2 linked regions of the Drosophila melanogaster genome follow. The gene in region 1 interacts genetically with each later gene. Each region holds a gene or a part of one and is shown on either strand. Other genes may lie near its edges. The genes, in order: Ccm3 and GckIII.

Region 1 (5,087 bases):
ATATCCGAAAAACGCGATCGTTTCACTGCTACTATATAGAAAAAAACTCCGCCTAGTTGTCCACTTTCTGTGGGTAGTAGCAGTTGGGTCTCAGTGCGAATACCGAAAAGTGGGTCATCTCGGTCGCGCTGCTGGCGCACTCTGATTTCTACCCAACTGCCAGCTCGGTGCTCAGTGTGCCAGAGCAGAGTGGCCCAGAGAACCCAGAGCCGAGCACTCAGTACCCAGTGCCCACTATTCAGTGTGCGGGGAATCGATTTTTCTGCCAAATGACACTGAAAAACGGGCAATTCTCTCCCGCTCTCAGAAGGACTCCTTTGGGGTTGCAACTGGGTAAATTTCTGCTCAGGGCCTGTTATTGGGGGTTTACTATTACTTTTGGCTGTTATCCGTTAACAGCGCTGTCCTCTGTTAACGACATGTGCGTGTAAATCTGAGATTTTGATTTCAGTTTACCAATCTCTGATTTTCGAAATCAATTCTCGGGTAATATAAAACAATTATTTCCACATCATACCACACCTAATACTATAAATTATAAAGTAATTTTACGTAAATTGGTTAAATATGAAACACTCTTTTCAATTTTGGAATATAAATACATTTATTTGTCGTTTTCTTTTCGCTATGTCTACATTATGAGTTTGTTGCCGTTCTTTTACTTTTGCTTAGTGTTCGATTTTCATATAACATTTTATTAATTAAAATAATTTTTTCTCCATCCTGTTGATAGTGCTGTCGGCCACTAATGTCTTTCGCTTTCGCAGTTTTCAAATAGAACATATCATTAAGTAAAAGATTATTATGTATAGTGTTTAAATTTCAAACTCTAACAATTAAAAACAGTTAAAAATTTAAGTGTTCCGTTAATGTTTTTGTTTGTCATCTCCCCGTAGTACATACATTTCCTGTTTCTCGTTTTTTTTCCACTAATTTTAAATTTATTCGTAGGCGCTTCTCCTAAACAAAAACAAACTAGCCGATGTTGTTTGTTAACAGAAAAAGAATGAATTATTTACAATAAATTGTAAACGAAAAATAAACTCTCGCACACATCGTCCGTCTCCATAAATAGTTGCTCACTAGTTAATTACAATGCTTAGGCTTCGCAAAATTTTGTGTCCGAGTATGTGTAATACATATGTATATACGATATAAATTAGGCCTATTTATTTAGTTACAACAGATTTTCATTTACGTTCAAACATTTAACTTGGACTGCGTCGGGCGATTTTGTATTTAAGTGTGTTGAGTTTATTTGATTTGTTTCGGTCTTGGTATGTTAAATGGTTATTTAAACATAAAATTAAAATGCCACTAATTAATTAATTTGCCATAATTAAAGGATTTAATTCTCTACTCGCATTTACTCTTAACTGTCAGCATTATTTGATTCGTTTGCCGTATTAGAAAAAGTGCACTTATGAATACTGCATTCGGTCTGAAAATAGATAAAATAAAAGAGAATCGGTTAGAAAATCCTTGCTGAAGCAATTTGAATTAGTAATGCAATTTGGCCCCAATTTCATGAAAAGGTCAGCGGTAATAGCCATTAGTACGTAATCGAAGCAATTTACAATTTAAAATGGGCGGGGGTCCGGCTTAATATCCGCCCCTCAGAATCTCCGGCGCAAAATGATAAACCAAACAATACCCGGAATGCCAATGGAATGACATCATCTCAACGGTTGGCCCGAAACGATAAGAAACCAGATATGAGCCGATTTAAAGAAACCGGCTGTCATGGCGTCGCAGCGTATCGTTTGATAACACATATAGTAAATAATCACTGCAGGTGATTCTTAATACTTACTGTCCTTCTTTGAAGTACTCCTTCAGCGTTGTGCTGAACTTCTTGGAATATTTGACGAACTCCTTCTTACGCTGCTCCACAGCCTGCTTGCCCGTTACGCCAGGTATAAACGAGCCGATCTCGTTGACCACATCGAGTAGTTTCTTTATGGCGCTGGCGATTTCCCTGTAAAACGCAGTAAAATTTCATTATTCATTAATCAGTTAAGCTTATGCAGTGAGTTTTAGCTTCATTTTGAGTTTTTACTTACTTGATGGTCTCCAGGAAGGTCTTCCTGTCGTTTATCTCATCGGGTATGCGGCTGAGGATCACCTTGAGAGCCACGGACTTACGATTGAGCTCCTGGAAGGGCTCCTCCGTGCGCGTCAAGCGGTATTCATTGACTGTGGAAGGGGGAAACTTCGTTAGCTACGAAACTCAGCTGCTGGCGTGGCTACTTACGGTCCGCTTCCGTAATTTTGCCCTGCAATCGGAGCACGGCCTCGTTTAGGTTAACATTCAGATCGGCCCGCCGCACAATTGTGGCTACGAGGTCATAGCAGAAGCCCGGATTGTTCTGCTCCGACTTGAGAATGGCGGAGCGCAGAGATTGGGCAGCGCCAACGTCGCGTCGCTCGAGCTGCAGGTAAACGTACACAAAGTTAAGCAATTACAAACCCAAGTACCCCATGTAAAGGTTTACGCAACAGGCCACGATCTGACGGGGCTGAAGGGTTCAGAGGTACGGTTTGGGGCTGACGGGTTCGGAGCAGAGCACAGCAGAGCGGAGCCGAGCACCTGGGATCGTTTCACCTACCTGGGAGAAAATGGGCCGCAGTATGACGGGCAGAACGAGAGACGACGTGGGCTCGCCCATTGTCATTGCTACTAGTGTGCTTGGTCTTCTCTACTGGTGCCTAGGTATCCTGGCGCATGCTGCAGGAACCCAGTTGCGATTCCCGTTCCGTGCGATGTCCGTCGCTTCGCTCGCACGACGCTCGCAAATCAAATTAAAAAATTAACAAAAATTGTTCACAACAGCACAGGCACAGTGTTGTTTTTCAATACTGGAAACTAACTGGTTTTTATCGATGAACGTGTCGTGCTTGGTTAGATATCGATTGCTTCTGTAGAAGCTGATGGTAGAATCAGCTGATTTACATAAACCTATCGGAACTCTGCAATAAATTGGTTTATTTTTGTTTACCTGTCCTTTTATCAATGATAAGAGAAATGTCCAACCACGATATCAAGCTGGAGGTCTGCGTGGACTCCATACGATCGGCTTTTGCCGCCGAGGAAGGCGGAGCTTCACGCATTGAACTGTGTTCGGCATTGGGCGAAGGTGGCTTGACACCCAGCATCGGTACCCTAAAAACTATTAAGGAAACGCTCACAATGCCCATTTACTGCATGCTGAGGCCACGGCGGGGCACCGACTTTGTCTACAGCGACGAGGAGATGTGCGCCCTGCTCACGGACATGGACTTGCTGCGGGAAAACGGTGCCGATGGCTTCGTTTTCGGATCCCTGAATCCGGATCGCAGCATCAACGTGGATCAGTGTCGGCACGTTTTGCTGGCGTCCGGTGGTCTGCCAGTGACCTTTCACCGCGCCTTCGACCTCACCGACCAGAAGTCCATGGACGAGAATGTCGACATGTTGCGGGAACTAGGTTTCCGACGTCTGCTGAGCAGCGGATTCCGACCCACGGCTGCCGATGGCGTAGATTGCCTGGCACAGCTGATAGCCAAACATCAAAGAGACTTTATAGTTATGCCCGGCGCCGGCATAAAGGTGTCCAACCTGGAGGAGATCCTCACGGTCAGTCGCTGCCTAGAGTTTCACGCTTCCGCCCTGGACACGGCTGGCGAGGACTACGTGGCGCCCACCACCACGCGAATGGAGTGTGACGTGACCATGGGCAAACAGGACGTGGACCCCTACTACGGAACCAACTCCATCGTGGTGCGAAAGATGGTTACCATTGCGAAAGCGATGAGCTCCCGCTGAAAATCATAGTACTTAACCTATCCCTAAGACTTAAATTATTCCTTAACTGTTTGTTTACATCATATATAACTAGTATATACCTTTTACTTAAGTAGTCTTATCCCTAAAATTCTAAATTCTAAAAAATAATCCAAATTTGATTTGATTTGATTGTGCTGAAACAACATGATTGTGGAGATAGTAGAGAATCCTGCTGCTCTAGAACATAATTCTTTTAATGATCACTTAAATAATGCAGAAAGGGTATTGCATAGAATAGAAGCATACAATGTAAAGCTAAATAATCATATGAGGAGATTGAAAGAACTGCTGGCCAACAATAGAAGATTGATTTCGGGGCTATCGTACAATGAGCACAGCATTAAATCTTTATTGGAAAACAAAGCTCAAGATAAACAAATAGAGTAAGCTAAAGAAGGAAATATGAACTCGGTTATAAACTAATATATTTTTAGGCGAAATTCAAGTAAAAGAAGGTGTCATCTTCGTAGGACTTGCAAGGCGACCAACATCAGAGAGGCATGTTGGACGCAATGCAAGTCTCACATGGAGCCTGAAGAGGAAGAGCAAACCCAAGACGTGGTGGAGATCCAAACGAAAACACAAACATCTAGAAGCCGTTCCGGAAAAGTATGTGAACGGCAGAAAGGTGGTAGGGAGCTGAGTTCATATTACGAGCTAAGTGAGGAGATTGGTTTCAAAGGTAGGTTTTTATCAATTTCTGAGATCTCTTTCTTGAAATCCAAGTATATCCCAAGTGAAATGCATGCTAAAGCTTGTCGAAAAGATGGATTTCAAAACGGCCACAATTGCCGAAGTGAAAACCATTCGCAGAAGGGTGTTAAGTGCAATATCAAGTCGCCAAAAAAACCTGCAGTGAGCCAGAAGGAGTTTGGTCGCATCTGATATGTATGTCGAAAAATCCGTATTCCTACAAATAGGCAAATTGAATGAAATAAATTGAAAACTCTTTTCAAAATAATGACATTAGCTGTTTAATGATATTTACATATGAGGACAAGAACATTAATTTCAAATTAGGCTTATCGATATGAATCGAATTTCATGCGCAGGCGCATCTAAAATTGATTCACTCTAGCTGTGTGTTTTGGAACAGAATGGGGTCCTTGGAGCCCGAGAAAGTGTGATACAGCTGGCTCCTCCGGACAGCCCTCAGTTTACAATCACTGTCAATGTCAACATCTCGAGCTCGGCAAACGGAAAACCCACTCAAGCATTCGGCATGGACTTGGACGATGTGGCTAGTCATCACGGATTCGGT
Region 2 (4,978 bases), 1.7 Mb from region 1:
CATTTCAAGCTTTGCCTCGTCGGGCACATTGTCCTCCACAGCCTCCTTTGCCACGTCATCCAGGTCGGGGTCCTCGTCCTCGCCGTGGAACAAGTTGTCGAACTCGGCCACATCTATTTCCATGCCGTCTTCCAGGCTGGCAAAATCCTATAAAACAATATCGTCCATCAAGAAGAGACGCCACTTGGGTTTCTACGGACTCACCGCCATTTTACTGGACCAGGCCTTAGAGCGCTCGTAGACCATTGCCTCCAGTGTTTCCTCGTCCACCACCGCATTCGCCATGGTTATGTAGTTATCAGTTCACGGAATACTTGATTAAAATTTATAAAAACTAAAAGAAATCTTAAAACACAAAAATAAAGAGTCAACAAAAATGGCGTTGCCACTGGTGTTACCGTCTCCAAGGCGCCAAAAAATACACCAAAACGCGACTTAACTAAACACGTCCCATTTTTATTTATATAAAACAAATAGAAAACTTGGGTTCCTCATTTCCAATAAGGTCGTTTTGATGTTCTATTTGCACGGCTTTTTGATTATAATTATTATTTATTTAACGATATCCTGTTTATTCAATTTATTTATTTTTTTATTTACTGCATTTTTCGCTAGCGTCCAGCGTTGCCAGATCAAATGAATACTCGGAGTCACCAATGATGCCAAGTTCGCATTAGCGCGCCAAAATCGAATTGTTTATTTTTGTGGGGTTTTTATTTTGAAGTTATATATGTTTTACATTAGATTAATATTGCAGATAAACAAACGAATACATATTATATGCTTAAATAACTGTTCAATTGAAATACATGTACATCGCTCCCGGTCCTCTGTTGGCCACTAAATGTCGGAATATGTCTGCTCCAGCGTTTCAGTTTGTGTTGTCTCGGTGTCGTTAATAAAGTTGTGTATATATTAAAATAGGCTGCTTGGAATCGGAATTTGCTACGGCTTCGCCAGCTACTTGCGGTTGCGTATGGCGCGGTCCATGATCGTATTGATTCGCGTCTCCGAGTAACCAGGAACGAGCATGTGGATCAGCTCTTTCATAAATAGGTCGCTCACTCCCGGACTGGAACGTTCGGCCAGCTCGAACACAGACTTCAGGTCGCCGATGTCGCTGCCGACGCCTATGTTACGGCCGCCTGATCCTCCGCTTCCTGCAGATCCTCCGCCGGAGTACTTTCGCTGGATGTCGCTCAGCACGGGGAAGAGGAAGTTGTTCAGACAGGCGCTGTTCGTTTGGACTAGGCGTTGTCCCGCCCCAGAGTGCTTGACATGGCTGGCATGGTTGGTGGCCACATGCTCCTCGTGGCTGTGGTTGTTGCTACTGCTGCTGCAGCTGGCAACCAGCGCGGCGTTATTTGCATGGAATGATTCACGTTGGCTGCTGCGGCGCTGTTGCTGCTGCTCAGCCGTCGATGGAGTCGGAACCGACGACTGCAATGGCAGGCCCAAAGAGGCACGGCGATCCTCTACTTGATCCAGAGGGGCGGCGGATCGCGACTGGCGCAGCTCCGGCTTCGAGCTGGAACGCTTCTGCTGCAGCTCACTGGCCGACGACGAGCTTGTGACGCTGCTCGGCGGAGGAGCTGCGTTCAGCATGGTGGTGGTGGCATGCTTGTTGCTCAAGTTTCTGATGTTATTGTTGTTAATGTTGTTGTGGTTGTGGTTGTGGACGTGACTGTTCTGGGGGGGCAGGGCGGATGCAGAGGAGACACCTTCGTTGGCTGTAATGACCGATACGGAGGAAGCTGACGCCGCCACGGCGGACACAGAGGACGATAATGCATTTGCAGCAGGGGACGCTTGCACGCCACCACCGCCGGCTGGCGAGTGTGTGGTCTGCATCAGCTTCTGCATGGTTAGCTCGTGCTCCTGCAACTGGAAGCTGTTGACACCCGCCCGCGGAGCACTGTTGATATGCAGGCCCTTGACGGTCATGATCCAGGGCTCATCCTGGCTGCTGCCGCCCTGCTTGGCGTCCGAGTCCGAGTCAGAGTTCTCAGACTCCGTCTCACTTTCGTCGCCCTTGGAGACCTTCCACTTCTTGAAGCGGTCGATCAGGTCAATCAGATAGGCGTTCTTCTTGGCCTTCTTGATGAACGGGTACTTGAGCAGCTCCTTGGCCGTGGGCCTGTTCTCCGGGTCCTTGTTTAGGCAGGCCTCCACAAAGTCCTTAAAAGACTTGGTATAGCTGCCCGTCAGCTGGGGTGGATTGTTCTTGGGGATGAGGAAGAGCACGCGCATCGGATGCAGCTCCGAATTGGGCGGCTCACCCTTGGCCAGTTCGATAGCCGTGATGCCCAACGACCAGATGTCCGCCTTGGCATCGTACTGTGACTGCTTGATCACCTCGGGCGCCATCCAAAAGGGCGTGCCCACGAAGGTGTTCCTCTTGGATGTGGTGTTGGTCAGCTGGCCAGCGACTCCAAAGTCCGCCAGCTTGACATCGCCCTGTTCGCTCAACAGAACATTGGCCGCCTTGATGTCGCGATGCAGCTTGCGCTCCGAGTGCAGGTAGTCCAGGCCCTTAAGCACTTCGCGCAATATGATCCCGATGTGCATTTCCTCGAAGGAGCCGGCCTTCATGAGGTCCAAGGCGGATCCACCGCCCAGGTACTCCATGATGATCCATAACTTGGTGCCCTTAAGAAAGCTGCCATAGTACTTCGTCACGTACGGCGAGTCGCACTGCGACAGCACCATGATCTCCTGCTGGATGTCGTCGATCTCATCTTCGGCCTCCTCCAGATCGATGATCTTGATGGCCACCACTTGCTGGGTGCGGTTGTCGATGCCCTTGAACACCTCGCCGAAGGAGCCCTTGCCGATGCGCTCCTGCTTGGTGAAGATGAGCTCTGGATCGACTTTCTCCGTCCAGGACATGTTTCCTATCTGGTTTCTACTTCCCACTTCGTGGCTTCTGGCTCTCCTCCTCCACCTCCTTCTGGATTCACGGGTTTCCTTGTTACTCCGCTGGCTCTCGACTGGCTTGTGTTGGACCCAACTGGACTGAACTGTTCTGCGGGCTATTTGGTGGCTGAACTACTCTGCGGGGGCACTTGACTAATAATTTTTTCGTTGGTATCTCATCTAATCCGAGAAATCTCTCTTTTTTTTGCTGTATCGCAGCAGTATCGAATACCGATTGAATATCGATATTCTCCTGTCGATATCGATATCTTTCCAGCTGTTGATTAGAGCCGCCAGCCGAAAAATAAATATTAAAATTAATTTTTTATTTTAATTGTAATAATATTTATTTCACGATTCGTATGTATTTTCTTAACTCTGGCAGAGCAATTCTTATTCTTTCACTAATATAATAGTTATTAATTTCCCTAAGATTATTTAACTCGTTAGCAGTTCCGAAAAGCTTAAATAAGATTAACTTATTCATTTATTTTCCTATTCGACTTGTGTCAAAGCTTACAATATATAAATATTAGATGTTAACTATTTTATTTCTTTACCCACTTCTGTAATTACAAAACCCATTTGGCAGCGTTGCCACATAATATTGAATATTGGAAAGCGTTGCATCGATACCCGCTAAAAACTTAATGTTGCAGAATGAATTTACATCGAGTCCCTCATTTTTAGTTTATTGTAAATGGATGTAGTTATCGAGTATAAATAAAAACAACTGGTTTCCAAACGATGCAACTAAAATGATTTTTTCGCCATCACTAAGGATTCAATTTCACATCATTCAAAATAATTTTCTTTAAGCTTAATATCGCAATTGATGGGTTATTTTAATACATAAAACACATAAGTTACTTATATCTGAAAAAGAAAATCGCAGTGCCTTCAATACCCATGCATACACCAAAAATTCAGATATTTCGTTTTAATGTACTTTATTTATGAAATGTGTTACATTTTTCTTTTTTTCTTTTGATATAGCGAAACAATACATGAACTCGGCGAAAAGACTTTCACAAATATGTGTTTTATATAAAAATTTCTTAAACAGATTACTACAAGTATGGGTTTTCTACGGTTGGTACCCACTTTTGCCTGGGTACAGATCGTCAGATTCGTCGGTGGTTGTCTGCGACCCGGGAGTTCGCGAGGAGACAACCAGCAAGGAATCTGTGACAGAACGGTGATTTTCCTGACGAAAAACGACCCGACGAGTCCTAGCTATAAAACTTTCTCTTAACATGTTACTTTACGTCAGAACATAAATTACCAAAGAGGGTGAAACAGATATGCTAAGACAATCTTATCAACTAAGGGAAGGGTATTATGTGGTCTGGCCTGTTGTATTACATAATTGAGCAGATGGATCGGCCCTCGGCAGCGACCGCGGCAACATCAGCCACCTCTACAACAGGGTCAATGTTTTCTCCATCGCTGGACTCCTTGTCGCCATCCTGGCCATTGACGTTCTTATCCTCGACATCCTTCTTGGCGGGGATTTCCTCCGCTCCGGCCTCCTGACCAACGGTCACGTCTTCGGCCGGTTGTTCCTCCTCCACATCAACCTCTTCTGGTACGCCAGTCGTAGATGTGTTCAGATGTTGCTCCTCCACGCCGGAACTGTTCGGCTCCAGACGCAGACGGGTCGGAGTACCGATTGTTGCCTTGGAGAATCTCGAGCGCAGCAAGCTAAAGGGAGAAGCCAAATTCAGGCTGAACAAGTCGAAGCGGGCGCGCTTTGGCGGCGACATATCCACGTCGTGGCCCAGGTCACTGGTCGACTGAGAGGCCGTCAGTGGTGGGGGAGTGCGTTCACGCTTGCGGCCACGGCCAAAGAATGAAAATGAAAATGACGAGCTGTTGGGGATCTCTGATCCGACTGTGGCATTCATGCTTGCGTTCGTGCAGTTCGAGGTGTCCAGATCGCTGTTCCCGCACCTGTAGGTGCCTATTTTCGAGGGCGTCAGTGAGTCGATGGGTCGTATGCTACGCCTGCCGCTGATCTGGGCGAAAGTGCGAGCCGGAGTTCCTGCCGGCGAGCTGGAAG

What was found.
Region 2: of Ccm3 (region 1) and GckIII, changing one enhances a phenotype caused by changing the other (phenotypic enhancement), as found in Drosophila melanogaster (one study listed by BioGRID).

What each region holds. Positions count from the first base shown.
Region 1 is NT_033777.3:15,369,740-15,374,826, reverse strand, and holds Ccm3 (cerebral cavernous malformation 3), read right to left. Parts: upstream 2,871-5,087; 5' UTR 2,676-2,870; coding exon 2,610-2,675; intron 2,433-2,609; coding exon 2,255-2,432; intron 2,197-2,254; coding exon 2,064-2,196; intron 1,979-2,063; coding exon 1,814-1,978; intron 1,442-1,813; coding exon 1,357-1,441; 3' UTR 590-1,356; downstream 1-589. Other genes in the region: CG6136 (uncharacterized protein), read left to right, coding at 3,014-3,805; CG14868 (uncharacterized protein), read left to right, coding at 5,049-5,087.
Region 2 is NT_033777.3:17,083,709-17,088,686, reverse strand, and holds GckIII (germinal centre kinase III), read right to left. Parts: upstream 3,175-4,978; 5' UTR 2,890-3,174; coding exon 961-2,889; 3' UTR 699-960; downstream 1-698. Other genes in the region: cal1 (chromosome alignment defect 1), read right to left, coding at 1-147, 205-285; kuk (kugelkern), read right to left, coding at 4,278-4,978.